3 linked regions of the Drosophila melanogaster genome follow. The protein of the gene in region 3 interacts with the protein of the main gene of each other region in a pairwise test. Each region holds a gene or a part of one and is shown on either strand. Other genes may lie near its edges.

Region 1 (6,999 bases), on a different chromosome or scaffold from region 3:
CGGATATCCTCGTTTTCCTCGAGATCGTCAAGAAACTCGTGGTAGTCGTACTTGCTGCGCTCATCGGTAGCCTCCGCCGCCAGATGCTTAATCTTCCACACGCGCTGACTGAGTCTGGTCTGTCGATCGTAGTGCTTGCGCACAAGAATTACATCCGGAATTTCATCCGACGACAATTTGTCGAACTCCAGATCGTTGATGTTGGCCTCTCCGGTGTTGTAGCCCATTACGGAATCGCCCACCTTGAGCAGGTGGCCCAAGTGGGAGCGTGTGTGAATGGGGTTATCGTTGATGCCCAGCTCCGAGGCGCGCACCACCCAAATGTCGCAGAGAGCGTGCTTGAAGGAAACCTGCCCTTGACCAGGATAGGTCTTTCGATCCTTTTCCATGATCACATCAATGTCCATGACGACGTACTCAACCAGCTGCTTGGGATTGCAGACGGCCTCAAAGGGAGCTCTGAAAAAAGCAATTTAATTGGCTTACTCGAAGATAACCTTTGTCAAATAGGAGTCCCACCTGAAATAGACCTGCGAGGTGAGTTCTGCAATCTGTGCGGTCAGGGGATCAATCAAGTGAATGCTGCTAGACACCCGGTTGACCAGAACCAATGGCGAGAGATTTCCCAGCTGGTGGCGCAGCTTTTTGGACAGGCAAACTGCACTGTCCTTCGATACTGGTGCTATTTCCACTGACCAGTTGTACTTGTAGTTATAGTTGTTGCTGTGGATGTCGTGAGAGATGAGACGCTTCGAGGTTGTTACCTTGCCGGGCACCATGGTCAGGAGGAAATCAACCATGCGCCGGGCATGATTATCATTGGCATAGAAGAAATCCAGGCCGCCATGCTCCGGCTTTATGCCCAGAGTGTTCTCGTGGGCTTTGTGCTTAAGGATCAGCTGTTCCAGATAGTAAAAGGTTTTCTTGTTCTCGGCCCGCTGACGAACCTGCACGAGGCAGCGCCAGAAGTCCTTGGCCTCGGTCCGATGGCAGTCGTTGCACATCTGGTTCTGCACAGTGAACTCCACCACGAATACCTGCTGGAGCATCGTTCCCCCGATGATCTCCCCATGCACAGTCAGCTTCACCTTTATGCGCTTGGAGTGCTGTTCTGTCCAGATGAAGCCGGCATCCACCAACTTCACTTCCTTCAGGCCTTTTAGCTTCTTAAGGCAAATGGCCAAGAGTTCGCGGGACTCCAAGGCGGCCTGTATCCACTCGTTCGGCGGTTGCAGATAGCGCTCGCAATTACGACAGAAGTGGAGCACGGCCTGCTTTGGGATGTTCTCCGTGATGTCGACATGGTTGCGCAGGCAGGTGACGCACATGTTGGCCGGATTCGGCTGGATGGCCACTCCGCACTCGCAGCACAGGATGACGGCGTTCGATCCGGCGCCCTTGCCGTCCGCTGCGCCCAGCGGGCTAACCCCAACGTATTCGTGATCCATGAATCCTCCGGAGGTCTATTCGGTCCAGCTATTTCACAATGGCGTTGTAGAATACGATGAAATATTCCCACGAAGTACACAAATTTGTAAACACGTGCGTATAGGTGTATATCGATTGGCCAGAGATCAGCGATATTATTAATCGGCGATTTAAGTTAAGCCTTTTCCAGCTAGAGTAGCTAAAAGTGAGATTAACGATAAAACGACGTTAAACGAGTGAGACTCAAAGCTAAATGGGACATTTGGAACGATTTCCTAAAATTCACTTAAAAATATAGTACTCATTCGACTGTCTTCATCTTTATTTTGGCTAGTAAATGTACGCCCAATTATCGATACATTCGCCGCCGTCATCACTGACAGACCAGCTGAGGCGACGGACTCGACTGCCGGAAACTTTTATGGACTTGGAAGGGATTTGCCGCCATGCAGAAGAAGCCGATTAACACCAACACGCTGCTGGACAAGCTGCACCGCGGCGCGGTGTATGCCTGCATTGGAGTCACCCTGTACGGCACCTACATCCTGGGAATGCGCTACTACCACTACTGCACGGTCATCCGACCGGAGAAGCAGCAGGCGGAGCTGAAGCTCCTGGACGAGGGAGCCCACGACAAGGCCAAGGAACTGAAGTACTAGGCGCGCCCTCCTCCGCCCCTTTAATTGTTAAATGTCTGTTAAGCGCAATAAACTGTAAGGAAATGTAAGCATTTTCAGCTGAAAACGGCCAACGCCGGTTGTTGTTGTGTAACCTCGGACAGCTGGCCAAAGTGGAGGACCGTCGGCAGGCCCGGTGGGATTGTAAGATTCCAGATTCAAGATCTAACCCTGGAACCAAGCCAACAATGCGCAATTAGCCGTCTGGGCCGTAAATCAAACTGGTCGGCTACAATGGGAAATCAATCAATCGACAGCGACATGGACATCGACCCGTTCGGCGGACTAGACTTAGTCAAGAATTATAATTTAGCTGGCAATCAAATATGTTGTCATCTCCGGATCGTGACCAGGTCCCAGTCCATAGACCAAACCCCTTGGCTGCTTGGTCTTCCGCTTGCCCAACGCGTCTCGCGTGCATTCACCTCCAATGGGCAGAGCATAAATATTAAACGATGTGGATACGAAAACAACCGCGGGGAGAAGGAGACAATGGCGGTGCCACCCACTTTTGGCCAGAGATGGCGAGACGTCGTCGATTGGGAAAATCTTTTGCATGCTTCATTCAACAATGTTGCCTCCGGCGTTGCTTCATTCATGACTTGGGAACTCGGAGCAGCAAAAGCAACAGCCGCAGCAGACTGCAATTGCGATTTGCAATTGCCACTGCGGTCAAGGTCGTCCTTTATTGTGTGGGCACGGCACTGGGTACTGGGTAGCAAGTACCCCCGGCAGACGGAAGTGATCGAGAATAATGGAACGCGCAGAACAGAGTCGTCTGCCCAAATGGCTATCAAATTGTTTTAAAACTTTAGTATATTAAGCAAAAGCTGTGCTCCTCTGAATAGAAGATCTCTTCAACCTAGTTTCAAGCCCATTAAAACTAATGACCATTGACCTGGTCACCGATCCTTGTCCCAATATACCCCTTAAGCCAGAGGTCTCCGTCAAAGTCGTGCACTTTGGATATTCTGTCGATAAGACTTTGCATTGGAAATGATCTGGCAGAGATCTCAGCTGTCTGGCAGCTTAATTAAAATGCCAAAACGCTGCCAAACGTGCAATTGTTTGTAATTTGTGTATAATGCTGGCGCGCATATGCGATTCCCACGGGGCCAGTGGCATCCCAGCATTTGGCCAGCTTCTGAACGAGCTTAGGTAATAGTGCGCCTTTTGGGCGCTGCTGGCCATCCGATCTGGCAGTGAAAGTGTTACACGATATGCATACCGTGTACGAGAGGGGCACTTGGTGATTGTGGAACGCGTCGAGTGTCTCGTGTTGCACGTTGCTTGTGGATCGCGTTGCTGCCCCACTTCGGTTACCCAACGAGCCTGGGATCTTAGAATTTCGACTACGCTGGCAATTATAACCGATATCGTTAGTTTCCACGCCCACTCCACCTCACTCCCCCCACTGCAATCCTCCGCCAAGTTCTCCTCCGCCGGATGAGCGGATGGATGACCTTTTGGCTCCGCAGCATAAACAATATTCGGTTTCAAGTCCTCAACCCGTCATGCATTCAATTCAGCTGCAACAATCGCTGCTGCTGCTGCTGCTGCCGCCGTTATTGTCAGTTTGCATAATTGCAACTGTAGCAGCAACTGGCAACAATAAGCCAAGCCGGGTGACTATAAAAGCGTCGGGCCACTGGCAGCCATCAACAAACCTCGCCTGGCGCCCTACCCATCAAGTCAACCAGCCAACAGCCACTAGCAACATCTGCAGCAGCAACATGAAGTTCTTGGTAAGCAGCAACACCAGGACATTAGGATACCAGGATACCAGGACACCGGTCAAGCAAACGAGTGGACTTTTTTTTGAGTGACAGTTTATCCAACAAAATACAAGTTATTTAAAATTGCTGGAAGTGCTCTGGCTACAATTTGAAACAAATCATTTGTTAACATCGTTTCAAATGTTTCATATACCGAACCTTTTTTTCTCTGTGCAGTGCGTGTTCGTCATCCTGGCCATTTGCTTCATGAGCACCTGGGCAGCAGTTTCGGAGCCTGCTCCTGAAGCTCTGGAGCCGGAGCCATCCGCCGTGGATGAGAAGAAGACGGAGAAGAGAGGCATCTACGGGTTCGGCCACGGCTATGGCGGCTACGGCGGATACGGCGGATACGGTGCCTATGGACACGGTCACTACGGCGGCTACGGTGGACTGAGCAGTCCCTACTACGGCGGCTACGGATACGTCCATGCGGCGCCCTACTACGGCGGACACCACGGCTACTATCCGTACCACCATGGCCACTACGGCTTCTACTAGGACCACTACCTATCCCCAAGATCGTAATGCATACTGTTTTTTTTTTCTCGATCGCTCCATGCTCATCACTGCACCATCATTCGTATATGTATATGTACTGGTTTTCCCCCATCATTCACCGCAATATAAATGTACTGCAAATAGCGAATACATTACTCGCATGTCTTTGAATTTGGGTTGGATGTAGTACAAATATGATATATGTACATATGTAAACAAAGTTAAATCCTACTCAACAATAAAGAATCGATTACATTGCATATGTATGACAGTAAAAGTGATTTTCGGTCACTCTATGGGGGCCAGTGAAGGTATAAAGCCGCTATTGGCCCAGTGACTGTTATACAAAAGTCACTGTTCTAATTGCGATCGGCGCGTGACCACCAGTCTTTCGGATCATCAGCAAAAATCAGGAATTCGACTTCGAGATGCTGAAGCGCGATCTGCAGAAAATCACACTCAAGCTGTCCGATCTCAAGGACTATGAGGTTGCCCGCCAAAAGAACAAGTTAAAGGGCGCCCCGCGACCTAGGCTTTCTCAGGACGCCCTCCCCGGAGACGACGCCTCCACTTCGGGAACAACGGCAAGTTGCAGTTCCAACACGGAAACGGCCACGGAAACCGCATCGGGATCCGGATCAGGGTCTGGATCGGGCTCGGGTTCTGGGTCCGGGTCGTACATTACGGGAATGGGCTACCGTTCGGAGACACCCTCCTCCGCATCGTACACCACGTCGACGACCCCGACTCCGGCCACTCAGGAGGAGATACTGAGACCCTCGTCCGCCGTCACGGCCACCACAACCACTGGCACCACTAATTCCGGCTCCACGGATGACGTGAGCGTGGCGGCCGTAGTGGATGACACGGATACCATTGACGAAATCAGCGATGACAACTGGGTGGACCTGAATGCGGACACCAACGATACCGTTGATACCCAGCCGGAGGAGCAGGACCAACTGCAAGAGGTGGAGGAGGAGGATGGGGCTAGGGGAGGAGTGTAATCCTGACCGCTTATCGCGTTATGAAAACATAGCGCAGCTGCACTCAAAGCCCACCCCCCCCCCCCCCATTTCACATTCCATTTATCATAACAATTTGTATACGTAAACAAGTATAATAACCCATTGCATGCTCCACTTACCTAGCTGCTAATAATAATAGTTTGCAAGGTTATATGTCGCTTATGTCATCTTCAAATCGAAACATATGCATTTTATAGATTTGGTTAACTACGGTAAATGGTTTTGCGGCCTTTTAATCGGGAGGACGTGCGATCGGATTATATCGAGTGGGGAATGCGGGTCCTCCTAATTGGCTCTCCTCAGAAGGAGCTAGGCAAGCGGCAGACGACAACAAGTGGCTTATGGCCACCGGCAACAGGTGGACGCAGTGGAGTGGGCACTAGGGACTGTTGTGGAACGAGATGCTATTCAAGCGCCCAAGGGGTACGTGCAACGTGACTTGAGCCGTACAAAGCGGAGGAGGGGGTGGCCTCCAACGGAGCTGCCTCCACGAAAGCTTCCCTCAAAAGCTGAAAAGCTCGCAGGCATCGGCGCTGCATTCAAAATACGTGGCCATACTGTTTTCGGGCGGCAGGCTGGCCAAAACGGCGGTTTGAACTCAATCCCATCCGATTCGGCTCGGCTCGGCAGTACGGAGCACGGCAAACGGACGACGGAAAGTGGATAGCGGATAGCGGATGGCGGATGGCCGGCCTTCCGCCAATTACGGGTCGCTGGAGTCCACGGCCAAGCGATTGTCAATTAATTACTCGCCTAGGTTCGATATCCAACGGCTTTGGTTACTGTGTTCCGTGGTACAAGTGCCCGTCTCAGCTTCCGCATCCGTGTACCGTGCGCATCGGTATCGGCATCCCAAGCGGCATCGGTGACCGTGACCCAAGGATCGACCGGTAGCATCACGTGCCACGTGCCGGTTCATCAAAAAGTGCAAGGGTAAGTGGCCATGTGCACGGTGATGAGGAAGTTCTGCCCTCCTTCGGACGTAGCAAATACCTCTTACTCCAAGGGGGATCTCTGTCACTTGAAGTAAAGAGGAGGTTTCAGTGCCACGTAACATCTTTGGGCAGAGGCCTACCAAACTAACACCGCAAACGGGCAGGAATTGTAGTGATGGGCTCGTAAATACGTGGGAAACGTTTAACCTTTGAACCCCGTAACCTTTTGTCTGCGTATATTACCCTTTGCCATGCATATTCGGCCACCCAGTTGCACGGTACGCCTCATCCCCCGGGGATATTGCTGAAATGAAGTGCTTTTTGGACATGCTCCTCCGTAGTCCGAGAGCTGCAAATAGCGAAACTGCATACACACAACATGGTAACATTGTAACCGAGTGGGAACGTGATGCCGGGGGGCAGGTTCCGGTGCACCGATATAACCACCTGTCACACACACATCCGTGGCACGTGCGCCGTTTCAGGTGGAGGGAGGGTGTTTGGTTTGGCGGAGAAAGCAGGCCAGAAGTGAAAGTGCAGGCAGGACAGAAAGCGAAGGTACAGTTACGAACGCCAGGAAGCTGGCTAATGGAAGTTGAAAGGATGCTGTGCGCCACTTGTGGCAACGGGACTCCGTTGATCGCCCGCCATTTAAGTG
Region 2 (7,212 bases), on a different chromosome or scaffold from region 3:
ACTCAAGCCCGATAATTTATTGCCTTCTTCCACTCATTGCGTTTGTAAGCATGGGCAAATCCCTACATCAGTTGCCAGTTCTTGTAACCGCGTCTCGACGGCAGAATCGACCGCCTTTAGCCAGAGTTATGACCCCGAAAGCTGTAAATTAACCTTTGAGGCCGCGCACATTTAAAAGGAGTTCAAGAACATAAACCAGCGTCCGCAATGTATAATCCGGAGCCAATCAACTTCCAAACTCGCGGTCAACCTTCGGACAGACTGAATCCCAGCTTACGAAATGAGAAGAGTTGAACGGTAAGAAGGCACGGTAAGAACGGCTGATAGACACAAAAACCGCAAGCGACGCAGTCAAAATAATAATGAGCCCGACATTTAAAATGGTTTATGAGACAGCCCCTTCTGCGGCTCCTCGAAAGCACAAGACTTGGCCCAGCCGCAGCCTCATCAGCAGCGTTGTCAGCCGCAGAATTGGCGATTCTTCGATTTTTCTGGGTCAAGCACCACGCGAAAGCAGAAAGAGCTAAAGACTTGGCCCAAGAAATGTGTGGTAGAGGTAGAGTTCAAAACGTGCCTTGGCCGTACTATTCAGACATGCAGTGCCTTCCCACCCTCTTATTCTCCCTGATCGAGACCGTCTCTGTTTCGTTGTCGAAACAATTTCCGGCGGCTGCACCGAGAAAAATATAACGTGTAACGATGATCGAACAATAAAGACAAGCGAATCTATACAGAGTCAATTCGGAAAGCTTTAAGTTTTCTAGAACCGAACATAACACATGTTTAATTAAAGCCTTTATGGCGTCCTTTTTGCGCTTTCAGAGCTCGGTAGAGTTGAATGTCAATGTAATGAGCCAGCCAAGTTCGGGTCATAAAGCCTCTGCCACATGAAAGTAGTTCAAGTACTCAACGGCGCCGTTACATTTCACTGCTTATGAATTGGGAGTCGCCCGGCCAGACAGTCCGCCAGACGACACTGACTTCCCGATGTGTTAATAATTTTGTTTTGATTTCAGGGATTCGAAAAGCCTACTTTGACTCTGTGGAAGGGGATAAGAAAATATAGCGCTTGAATTGGGCCTCTTGGATCTTTAAATTTAAAGGACAAAGGAATATTAAATCACTTAAAAAATGGTAATTTTTACAGCCCCTATATTGTTGTCCTTAAATACAAATGAAATGAAAGCATATGGTTTATACGATTCGCCCAGTTTTCACGATGTTCCTTTTGAAATCACATCAAGTTATGGGATGGACATCATGGACATCAATTATGGGAACATTTTGTTTTTAAGGAAATGAGATCATCTTACCATTTTAAAATACCTAAAAAATTATGGGAACATTTTGTTTTTAAGGAAAGGAGATTATCTTACCATTTAAAAATAACTAAAAGTATTCCAATTGTCCCTTTCTCAGTCTATCAAGATTTTAATGTATTTCCGTTGCTGTGTTGATAAGATTTGTTACCCAAAAGCCAGTTGGGATTTCACGTTTTACTCGTTTTGTTCGACTCACATTCTAGTCACATTTTCATAGAGAATTCGTTTAATTTGCGTGCACATTATGCGTATAACATTTCTTGTGCAATATGTACCCGACTGGAAGCCACTTGATGCCAATCGAGGAAATTATTGCACGACAAATATCGGATTTTTCACCTGTGAATTAATAACGGTAAATTACTCATCCAGCGTCGCGGCGGGCGCACTTGTATGGGTTAACGAGCGAGCAAGCAAGTCAACGAATTCACAATAAAATAAACAAAATGCAGACGCGAAAAATCGACGAAACTTGTTGGAGCTGAAAACGCGGAAACTGTTGCAAGCGAATCGAAACCAGAAAAACTTTTCTGCACACTCTGTCCAATCAGAACAAACACTCGAACTCTTCTCTCCCACACACACTACACCAGCACTCACACGCACAAGTTCTGCTCTTGCACTTGCCTCTTTCTACTGCTTTCTTTGAGTCTTGGGTTTTATTTTACACGACTGCGGCGCTCTTGTTGCGTTTTCCTCACCTTTCGCAGAGTTTATTGACATTTTCAGCGTTCGCTTTGTGCGCTGCTTTCTTCGTGCGCAATCTCTTTTTTCTCTCGCCAGTCTGTTCGCTCTTTCTCTCTTTCCCTTTCTTCTCTCCGCTCACAACACTTGCTTTTTTGTTTACAATGGAACGCTCGCACACACACACTGGTAAACGGGTCACTCACACGCACACAGAATAACCTTCAATTTTATCTTATTGCGCGCGCCCCAGTCACTCGTTATTCTTAAACTTTGCCGAAATTAGGATTTGCTTTGGTTCGCTGCTGCAGCTTTAAATATCAATCAATGTCTTTGCAATGCTGGTGTGGTTAGAAATCCACATTCACCTCGACGCCTCTTCCACACACCCATACACGCAGCCACGGACGACCTTTGCGGTGCGAGCGAGACGACCCGCCACAAAAAACTCCACTTCCGCTCTCTCGTTCACCCGTTGTGCTGACGGCGAAAAGGTTTTCGAATTAAGTACATACATATATTCTTATTCACTTATTCACGGATTTAACTACATATGCCACTGTAGGCGCTACCACTCTTTTTCGCTCACAGCATGAACGGTGTTTTGCGCTCGAATCCGATTCCACAACCGCTCTAGCGATCACACGACGCAACACAGTCCCGCCTGCGACGAAGTAGCAAAATGTTTGTTTTGTTAGTGGAGCTCTCGGTCTGTTAGCGAGCGTTGCCACCTTTCTGCGAGCTGTTGCTGCACACTGCCACTTTACGAACACAGATCTGATAGCGGGACAAAATACGTCAAGGCAGCGACGGTGGGTTACTAGTGAATTTGGAACGGTGGTCTTACGACGTAATGGTCTTTTATATTTTCATTATTTTTTAAATTGTCGCTCATTTACCAATAAACCTTTTTACTTTTTCCTGATAGTCCGAAGTCAGATCAAATAGGAAGTTTCACAAAAAATTTTCATCCAGAGAAAATACGCCGACGCTATTCGAGTTTTTTGTATTCGTTAACCGGGAAAGAATAGTTCGAATTCGTTCGCACTTTATCGATAGTAGATTGCTATTATGGAGCCCACTTGTAAAATAATTTAATTCCAGACTGATAAAAGCGATCAACTTTTGTTAGTGGTTTAAGTCTATGATAATACTTAGTTCAAATTGTTTCAAAGTAGTCGATAATTTATAATAACAGTTTTAGATGACCTCTAGGAAATAACTAATTACCCACATTCTTCAAGAAGTGTTTTCAATTTGTTCTATAATTAAATAACAGTTGTATTAATTATGTAAATATTGTTACTCATAATACAAATTAAACAATATAAACACACATAAATAAGAGAATTGGAATATTTTGTCTCAGATTAGATTTTCCACACGGGAAATTTAAATCACCACGTTTGGTAATATCGTATCGTTTTATCCTAAACGAAACACGCTTATTAATACATAAGCTAATTGTTTTTATACCCGTTACTCGTAGAGTAATAGGGTTTACTAGATTCGTTGAAAAGTATGTAATAGGCAGAAGGAAGCGTTTCCGGCCATATTAAGTATATATTCTTGATCAGGATAAATAGCGGAGTCGAACTGGTCATGTCCGTCTGTCCATATGAACGTCGAGATATCAGGAACTATAAAAGCTAGAAAGGTTGAGCATCGACTCGGCTTAATAAGAATATATTTTATATCTGTTAGACATTTTATCGGATGAATTGTAACAGGTATAATAAACGATTTCTTATATATCGTCAGACATGTGTGTATATTTTGAACGAAACAACTTAAATTAGTTTGTAATGTTATTTTATAAATTCCATCCTAATAAATATTACTGGATTTGCAATGAGTTCCTTAGAACATATTAGTACTCGTGTTTCACTAACCATGTCCATCAAGCTGACACTGCTATGAATGGGTATGTGTGATGGGTATCTGGTGGACAAGCTCTGATCTAAATGGTGTTGTCCATCCCAATAGCACTGACTTGTCTGTAGTCTAAACTGTGAAACACTCCTTTATTACTGAATTCTAGATAAATGTACATACATATGTATACTACGGAGTGGTTGCGAAATCAGAGGCAATCAGATATTGAAGCAAGTTCAAGTGACATACAATGGAATTGGTCGTGTATAGCCGCCTATAAAGACATTAATAGACGACCCCAAAGCTCTCATTTAAGCTTAGCTTTAGTTTTCGGTAGATACAACTTATTAGTGTCAGAGATATTGAGCTTTGGTCGGCCACTGCATTTACATTATTTATTGCGTAATATTTAAATTGATAAATTGCGCATATATGCTAATGCTAAGTCTTCAATCCATATGTTATATTGTATTTTCACGCATTTTTAGATGAAGAAAACATTCTTGACTCGGATCGACTACGATCCACATTGGCATATGTTTGCCGTGCATAATATGGGTATTCTCCATTTAAATGTCTTTGGATGTGGTTAGCTAATTGGTTAATTAAGTGAGACCGCGGGCAGAAAATATCGACGAAAATACATTTTTGTGCAAGACAAGCCAAGCCACGTTTCTCATTTCGAATCGTGGTTGCTGTGTGAATTTTTTAAAATTGGAATTATTAAAACGGATTACGCCTGTTTTATTTACCATTTGCGGCTCCTTCTTTTTCTGTAACAAAAAAATATGACACTGGTGGTTTAAAGTAGGCTAAGCAAATTCGCGATGCCTCATGAATAGGTTTCGCTTAAGTGACAGATGCTTTCAAATGCAGCATTTTTGCATTGGAAATTAAACCATATGCGAGTCTGCGATTAGTAATATATCAATAAGCAGAGCGCCGGGTGAGGGTCGATCGCAAGCGAAAAATGTTTCAAAATGTTTAAATATTTTTGGAACGTTGTCTTTGTGTACGTATTTCTAAAAGTTAGTTACGTTTAAGTATATGGGTACTTTTCTGAGCCCAGTTATCAATCAAAATGTAGGAATCATATTTTCGTAACTATAGGGGACAATAGCTATTAAACGCTTTAGAGGCTGTTTACAAAACAGTGAGGTGTCACAGTCCCGAAAAATGTTGTCTCACGATTGGGCAAAAATGCCCTTATAATGCCCAATCAGATTCAGCTTCAGCTTGGGTGGTTTCCACTCGACCCATAAGTGGGGTAAGTCCCATTTAATATTCAAAATAATAACCCCACATATGTGTGTATATACGTATATAGGTGTGTGTCCGTATTTACAAGTTTTCTGAGGCTAACGCCAAGCTGGTAATCCTTGAGCGCTTGGTCGAGCATGTAGTTTGGTCATTAGCACCGGCTAATAGTTAAACAAACTGATTTCCGCTAACTGCACCGGCGAACGCATATCAGTTGACCTTTGACATTAGCCGGCAGAGGCCCTTTAATCGCTTCGTGGCCAGCTGCCTCGCATGCAAATGAGTGTTGGCGTGTCCCGTGGCCGCTCGTCGGCGGAGTCTCGCGGCCAAGCTGCCCTATTGACATTGCCAAACCCGTCCAAATCCCCCGATATCAACGAGCGGCTGCCGGCGAACTGTCACGGTCTTAACCCCGCGCTGGGCACTAAAAAATTGCATCGAAGACTGCCCGGGCAGTTGGTCTGCTCGGGTTGGGTTTCTTGTGATAATACATTTTACTGTATTAGCATGAACAGTTTTCCAATATATCGAAAACTCCCCTTGTTTTTCTATGCATCTGGGTGTGGTTTCTTTGTTAGAGCTGTCAGTTAATTATAAAAAGTGTGCTCCCATATGAATGCTTGGTCCAAATAATTTAAAAAAAAATAACAGATCTCAACTTTTGCTTTAAGAAACTAAAATACCCTAAGCAAATAACCTTTAAGTAGAATTTAATGTAGTTTAATTAATTAACGACTTAATCATGTATTAAACAAGGCGAATATTATAGTTTTTTTTTTTTTAATTCTCCCTAAACCATATTCAAAACTTGAAAATTAACGTTTCTTAATGTTAATACGTAAGATCAAAGGGAAAAATAAAATAAATATATCTTTGTTTCGTTTTGATCGCCCAACAGCCGCCTCTGGGTTAATGATCACTGCTCCGCTCTCTTCTTAACTGTCTACCTTTTCTTCGACTAGAAGAAGCGCCAGGCCCACACCGAAGACGCGAAGACGGATATCCAGCAATAATAATGGGCCAGACCAAGTTAAGCATGGCTTTTGGTATAAAAGTGCGGGCCCATCTGCAGTTCGACATCATTCAGCTTGAGCGTCTTGCGACAAGAGCTTGCCAAAGCAAATCCAACGAACTTTAAAAGCCCGACCAACAAATCAATAACAATGGTGAGTAAACTGTCCACTGGTCACAACTTCGATCAAGAAAGCCGTTGGCCTTGCTCAACCGCTCGCCTTGGCCAACCGTCAAGATGTCGGGGATCCCGATCGCTCACTTGACCCTTAAATTTCCGCTTATTTTAGAAACTCTTCGTCTTCGCTGTGTGCGCCATCGCCTTGGCCTCCGCCGATGTTTCCCACCTTAACCTGGGCAGTGGTTATAGCTACAACAAGCCCACGCCGACCTTCAACATCCCCTCGGCTCCAGCTCCAGCTTATCTGCCACCCGTTCAGGAGGTGATATCTGCGCCGGCTCCAGCTCCTGTGTACTCTGCTCCTGCGCCTGCTCCTGTTTACTCCGCTCCAGCCCCAGCCCCAGTCTACTCCGCTCCGGCACCAGCACCTGTTTCGGAGTACCTGCCTCCTGTTCAAGACATCCCAGCTCCAGCTCCTGTTTATTCTGCTCCTGCTCCAGCTCCAGTTTACTCTGCTCCTGCCCCAGCTCCAGTTTACTCTGCTCCTGCGCCAGCTCCTGAGTACTTGCCTCCCGTCCAGGACATTCCAGCTCCGGCTCCAGCTCCCGTTTACTCCGCTCCTGCACCTGCTCCTGTTTACTCCGCTCCAGCCCCAGCTCCAGTCTACTCTGCTCCCGCACCAGCACCCGTTTCGGAGTATCTGCCTCCTGTTCAAGACATCCCTGCTCCCGCCCCAGTGTATTCTGCTCCTGCGCCAGCTCCGGTATACTCTGCTCCTGCCCCAGCTCCAGTTTACTCTGCTCCTGCGCCAGCTCCCGAGTATTTACCTCCCGTCCAGGACCTTCCCGCTCCTGCGCCCGCTCCAGTTTACTCTGCTCCTGCTCCAGCTCCAGCTCCAGTTTACTCGGCTCCTGCTCCCGCTCCAGTTTACTCTGCTCC
Region 3 (6,385 bases):
AGGAGGCGCGAAAGATCAACATTGCCCAGTATCAGCAGATCAGTTACTACGAATGGCTGCCCATCTTCTTGGGTGGCGAGAACATGCTGAAGAACCGGCTGATCTACAAGGCTCCATCCGGAAGCTATATCAACGATTTCGATCCCAACATTGATCCATCGGTGCTGAATGAGCACGCGACGGCCGCTTTCAGATACTTCCATTCCCAGATTGAAGGTCGTTTGGAGTAAGTGCCTATTTACTATTATGAGTTAAGAACATTTTATTAATTTTAAAATTTTTGTGCAGTCTACTGTCCGAGCTGCGTCAAGTTCTCGGCTCTCTGACCCTCAGCGACTGGTTCAATCGTCCCGGTATTATTGAGGTTGGAGATAACTTTGATTCCCTGACCAGAGGACACGCCACGCAGCCCGAAGAGCTAACTGATATCAATTTTGACCGACAGGTGGGTACACAAATAACAAAATGAGACCACCTTTCTAACCTCTCAACCTTTCCTGGCTTAGATCAAGCACTTCCTGTTCAGAAGAAACATGCCCTTCGGTTCCGATCTGCGTTCCCTGGACATTCAGCGTAATCGCGATCACGGTCTGGCTTCCTACAATGACATGCGGGAATTCTGCGGACTGAGACGTGCCCACTCGTGGGAGGGATACGGTGATCTAATAAGTCCACCAATTCTGGAAAAACTTAAGTCGCTATACCCGAGCCACGAAGACGTGGATCTGACTGTGGGCGCCTCCTTGGAGGCGCATGTGGCCGGAGCTTTGGCTGGACCCACCTTCCTGTGTATCCTCACGGAACAATTCTACAGAACCAGAGTGGGCGATCGCTTCTTCTTCGAAAACGGAGACAAGCTCACTGGATTTACTCCTGGTAAAAAGAACATTTCTCCTCTGACTATTTTAAATATTAATTTATTTATGTCTAATTTCGTAGATCAACTGGAGGAGCTGAGGAAGGCCAGTATGGCTCGTTTGCTGTGCGACAATGGCAACCACATTTCATCCATGCAGCCCGAAGCTTTCCGGACTGTTTCCCATTCGTAAGTTTAAATTGATTAAATTGGTTATTTGGAAAGTAACTGAGCTCTGAAATTACAGGAATCCGATTATACCGTGCTCAAATATTCCACAAGTCGACCTCACCAAATGGATTGATCAAAAGCTATATGCCACTGTAGATCCGTCTCACTACGGAAAGAAGTAATCCGCTGCTGTGGGATCTATGCTTAACTAGTTGAATACAAATACATTTAGCTTAATCAATAACATAAACGTAAATGCAAAGCCCCTCCCCCCCCCCCCCCCCTTGTATGATAATGTCCCAAACTGATGTACAGAAATAAAGCCCTTACCATTTAAACAATCAGCTTTACTTTCAGTGACCTGATAATGTTTGTAAGATTTCACGGAAATGAAAAGAAGTCAAGGGCAAATCCCAATGCCATCCAGACCCGACCCCTTCTTATGCAATAGGCCCGGATAAAGAAATGCCGGGTCCGAAAACCTTTACACTTTCGTTGACTTTGGGATAGCTCCGATTCATCGGGGTTAATCATATGGAGACGCGCGACCGAGGTGTGAACAAGTTGATAGAAACGGCCAATTAAGAGACAAAACTCTTTTTTCTGCCATTTTTAAGTCATGGTTCATTCGAATCGTAAAGCGAAACAATCGGCAACAGAGAATGTGTTCTTTTTTGCATATGTCTTCTGTTTTCAAATGGAAGTTAACATATTAATACTTCAGAGGCGGTTCACTTTTGGATTGGACATAAATTTACATATATAAGTTTAGAGAGAACCCAGGATGATAGCATCATCGCGAACAGGTTTGCATATTTTCCGAGAGATTTGGCAAGCAGATTTCTGAATGGACATGATATAACGGTTCTAGTGAATCTAGATTAATGAAAGTGATTTAAACAAAGTGTGCATACAAGATTAAGAGTTCATAATGCGGTATAAAAGTGATCCGTCCGCCGGAGAAAGGCAGCAGATACCATTTCGCCATGAGGCTGTTCGCAGTGATTTTTTGGATAGGTAAGGAATATGATTCAAATAGGATGGATCTGATTTCTAATTGGGATTCATTTCCTTTCCAGGCTGGGCCTTTGGCCTAGCGAATTCCAAGAACCCGAGTGCCGAGACGGGCAGACTGATAGCATCTCTACAAGCTGCTCCGGCTCCGGCGCCAGCACAAAGTGTGATCTACAAGCTGCCACCACAGCACTACTATCCGCCACCACCGCCGCCGCCTCCGCCTCCGCCACAGCACTGCAATTGCCCGCCAGGTCCACCGGGGCCTCCTGGACCGCCGGGCTTACCAGGAACGCCTGGTCCGCAAGGTCCCAAGGGACACACTGGGTCCAAGGGCGAGCGAGGAGAGAAGGGAGAACGCGGTCACTACGGACTACCAGGCCAACCAGGTGAACCGGGACCTATTGGTCCACCGGGACTACCAGGCCCACCCGGTCACAAGTCGGGACATGGTCACCATGATCATCATGATCACCACCATCATCATCCAGCGCCACCGCCACCACCTCCACCTCCGCCTCCGCCGCCTCCACCACCACCACCACCACACTCACACCCGCATTCACATCATCCCCACCCGCCGATCGTGACGCCACCAATTATAGTTCCCATACCATTGCCACCGCAGAAAGGTGAACATGGTCACCATCATCACCACAAGGGATCCAAAGGTCCACCCGGACCTCCAGGCCCACCAGGTAAGAGAAAATCGTTACTCATATATATCACAACGCTCTAACAGTGAAAATATTGAAAGGATATATTATAAGTCATTTTCCAAAATTTTACTGAGTATTTAATCTCTTGCAGGAACGGGACCACCGGGTCCTCCAGGACCTCCAGGCACTACGTATCCACAACCCCCACCACCACCACCACCACCGCCACCTCCACCACCATCGTACCCATACCCACCGTACCCGTATCCACCACCTGGTCCTTATCCGGGACCATGGATTCCTCTGCCAGTGCCAGTGCCCTGGCCCTCAAAGGGACATAAGGGGGATAAAGGTCACAAAGGAGGTCATAAGGGAGACAAGGGCGGACACCACCATCACTATTATCCACCAGGACACGATAAGGGAGGCTACTATCCGTATCCACCCCACGGTGGCCATGGAGGCCATCACCATCCAGGCCACAATTATCCAGGCCCCTATCCGCCACCATATCCACCTCACCATCCACATGATGGCGGAGACAAGGGTTATCACCATTATCCACCCCACAATCACGGAGGGCACAATCACGGGGGACACAACAACCATCATCCACCTCACAATGGAGAGCACAACCATAATCATCCCCCTCACAATCACGGAGGACATGGCCACCATCATCCCTCACACAATCACGGAGGGCAGGACCCACATAATACACACCCCCACACTGGTACACACGGAAATGGAGGACACAGCCAAACTTCACACCACCAGCACCCCCATCATCATCAACCAAAACCCACTAAGCCAGAGGGTAGTGGCGAGCAAACTCCACGGGATGATCTGGACTTGCTAGATGAAAATGTGGAGATTGTCGAAAACATAATTGATGAAAATGATAACGAAAATAATTTCATGGAGGGCGAGGAGGAAATGTCCAATGAGCCCAATGACTTGGAGACGGAACCCGAGGATGCGGACTACGGCCTTGAATATGCAGATAACACAGTGGAGAATCCCGAATCTCCGAGTGGCGCTGAAGAAATCGATGATGAGGATTCAAGCTATATGGTACCAGAAGGAGATGATGCGATGGAAGAGGACCATATGATGGAGGACCAGATGGACCCAGTGAATATGATGGAGGATAACGCACCTATGGATGGAGATGCAATTGAGGAGCGAACCAACAAAGGTCCGATTATCCTGTCAATTGGAACTCCTCGAAATCCCTTTCACATTTACGCCTATGAACAGTATAATATATAAATAAGCCAACACCACGAGAAAATAAAAAAATAACATTAAAATATGAGTCTTTTATGGGTTTTCTAACAATTTAAAAATACTACTTTTTGGGTTTCATTTAGAGATTTTGATACAGTTAATAAAATTTAAATGTTTAATAATAAACAAAAGCAGTGAACCTCTGTAGATTTCCGTATTAATAAGATCATCTCGCAGAATTCGTATAGCAAAAAATTTAAATGTATAAACAATAAACTGCGTTATTGTTAGCTGTCAAAATAGTTCCGTTGTTCTTGGAAATGTCTGCGGCTTTGTTAGATTTTCTATAAAATAACAATGGACAAAGATATGAAAAAAGTGAAATCATATTGAAATAAGCTATTAATTCAATGACAATCGAATGAAATTGCCAACTCAAATCATTTATCAAAATACAATGGTAAATTGTTGAATCTTATCAGCTAGGCAAGTAAAATTGTTTGTAATATATGTATTTAACTTTTGGCAGATATGAAATTAATAAGTTCAAATGTTTTCAGGTATTAGGTTGATTAAATTCATTAATAAATTTCTTTGTCCATAAATTAGTTTTGTACGACTTTTTAAAGCATGCGTGCGTCACGTTGATCCAATGCCTTAAAGTCTTGAAGAATTTTGAACGTCATATTAAATTTCACTATTTAAAAGCAATTTGTATGATAACGATAATGAAGAAGATAAGTCAGATCGTCCCATTTTTGCGGTATTCTTATTTTATTGCCCCGTAAATAAAACAATGGGGGCTGAAATGGAACAATCAATGCCGACATGGAACCAAATAAATAACTAAAGAAAGTTAATAAAACTTGTGCCATAATATACATTTTAATTCTTAAATAATAACCAAACATTTAAGCCCTAATTGTGGTAATCAATTTAATAATAGTATTAGCACATCGACAAAATGGAATAAATCATTTTTCTTGAGCCTCATCGAATTCCATGCGTGTGTATCTGGACCAATCTTCGGTTAAATTTATGCGAAATCATTAGGCTGATGAGATCTGAGATTTGCGATTTACATTTTACGTGTTTCGCATTAACCCATTAAAGTCTAGACCAACTGTTCTTAAGGTCTATATAAGAGATGATCTAAGACGAGCAGGTGTTCATTCACGAATGAGACGTCTTGAAATGAAGCTGCTCACGGTTCTGCTGTTCATAGGTAAGCCGAGTTAAGAAGATAGAACCTTAGAACATTACTTTACCTGATTCTTGCATTTTAGCCATCTCAGCATTTTGCGAGGGATCATGGCTGCTTTCCCCAGTCAAGCCGGTTGAAGTAGAATCGCGGCCAAAGACAAAGAAACCAGCTCATAATAACAACAATCTGTACTATTACAGTCCTGAAGCGATAGATTCTTCCTTTTACTACGGCTTTCAACCCAATTGCCAATGTCGCCCAGGCCCGCCAGGACCTCCTGGGCCACCAGGAATTCCTGGTCTGCCAGGTGTAGAAGGAGCGCCAGGAGAAAAGGGGGATCGTGGTGACCGTGGAGAAAGTGGTCAAAGGGGTAGGCCGGGTAAAACTGGATTTCCGGGACCAATTGGTCCACCAGGACTACCTGGACCACCAGGCCGCCCTGGCAAATCTTCATCGCATGAACAGAAACAAGGTACAACCATTATTTACTTGCCAGCAATTCCAGCGGACAAGCCGCCAAAAATGGAAAACCCACAGGCAGCAATGAAAACCCACCACCCGATAATAGAAACGACATTAAAAAGACAAACAAGCCTCGGGCACCGCAGCTTTTGAGGGCAAATTCCGATGAAATTAAATATCTCAATGTTAGTCCGCAACTGGCCCAAAACCACAAAAACCGAAATCGCAAAAGTCAAATTACTTTCGCCCATTTCGATCGTCAGAAAATCAACCAGAGTAACAAGATAACAACTTTGACTAAGAACTTACAAACAGTGACCAATTCCCAAAAACACAAAACAAACGCTCCAATGCGCCGAAAGCAGACTCCTAATCGAAAGGTAATTAAAAATACAACTACTGATTTAAGCAGTTCAGATCGTCAGTCAGTTAACAAAATGAAGGGCAACAATCTTGGCGAGAAAAACATATTGACTGATGCAAATAACAGCATGAATTTGAATATCAGCCACGTCGGATCCCAACAAACGAAAAACGTAACTAAAACTGGTGTAAAAAGTAGTCAAATTGATGATATACCAATACCAGCCGATGTATCTGCAATAAATTCTTTAAACAAAGAAGTAAATTCACAGATATCTAATACTACATTGCAAAGTATCATTCTGGAAGAGACGACTCTACCGAATAATATTAAAATAACAGATGAAAAGCTAGATCTTAACAAATTAATAACGATTACCGAAGAGGCGCCCGATGCGATTCATACAACAACAGTTCAAAATGAGA

What was found.
Region 1: the proteins of CG5225 (region 3) and CG17777 interact in a two-hybrid assay, tested with the Drosophila melanogaster proteins (one large-scale study listed by BioGRID).
Region 2: the proteins of CG5225 (region 3) and CG31626 interact in a two-hybrid assay, tested with the Drosophila melanogaster proteins (one large-scale study listed by BioGRID).

The regions. Positions count from the first base shown.
Region 1 is NC_004354.4:2,183,091-2,190,089, forward strand, and holds CG17777 (uncharacterized protein), read left to right. Parts: upstream 1-3,764; 5' UTR 3,765-3,838; coding exon 3,839-3,850; intron 3,851-4,057; coding exon 4,058-4,378; 3' UTR 4,379-4,651; downstream 4,652-6,999. Other genes in the region: Nmd3 (Nonsense-mediated mRNA 3), read right to left, coding at 1-459, 520-1,448; CG17776 (uncharacterized protein), read left to right, coding at 1,875-2,087; CG3457 (uncharacterized protein), read left to right, coding at 4,807-5,385.
Region 2 is NT_033779.5:21,232,730-21,239,941, reverse strand, and holds the start of CG31626 (uncharacterized protein), read left to right. Parts: upstream 1-3,208; 5' UTR 3,209-3,298; intron 3,299-5,906; exon of another isoform or gene 5,907-6,039; 5' UTR 6,040-6,304; coding exon 6,305-6,307; exon of another isoform or gene 6,308-6,442; coding exon 6,443-7,212.
Region 3 is NT_033777.3:17,026,693-17,033,077, forward strand, and holds CG5225 (uncharacterized protein), read left to right. Parts: upstream 1-2,000; 5' UTR 2,001-2,013; coding exon 2,014-2,044; intron 2,045-2,106; coding exon 2,107-2,739; intron 2,740-2,851; coding exon 2,852-3,972; 3' UTR 3,973-4,009; downstream 4,010-6,385. Other genes in the region: Pxd (peroxidase), read left to right, coding at 1-226, 289-445, 507-876, 940-1,045, 1,104-1,209; CG31268 (uncharacterized protein), read left to right, coding at 5,125-5,155, 5,217-5,606, 5,672-6,385.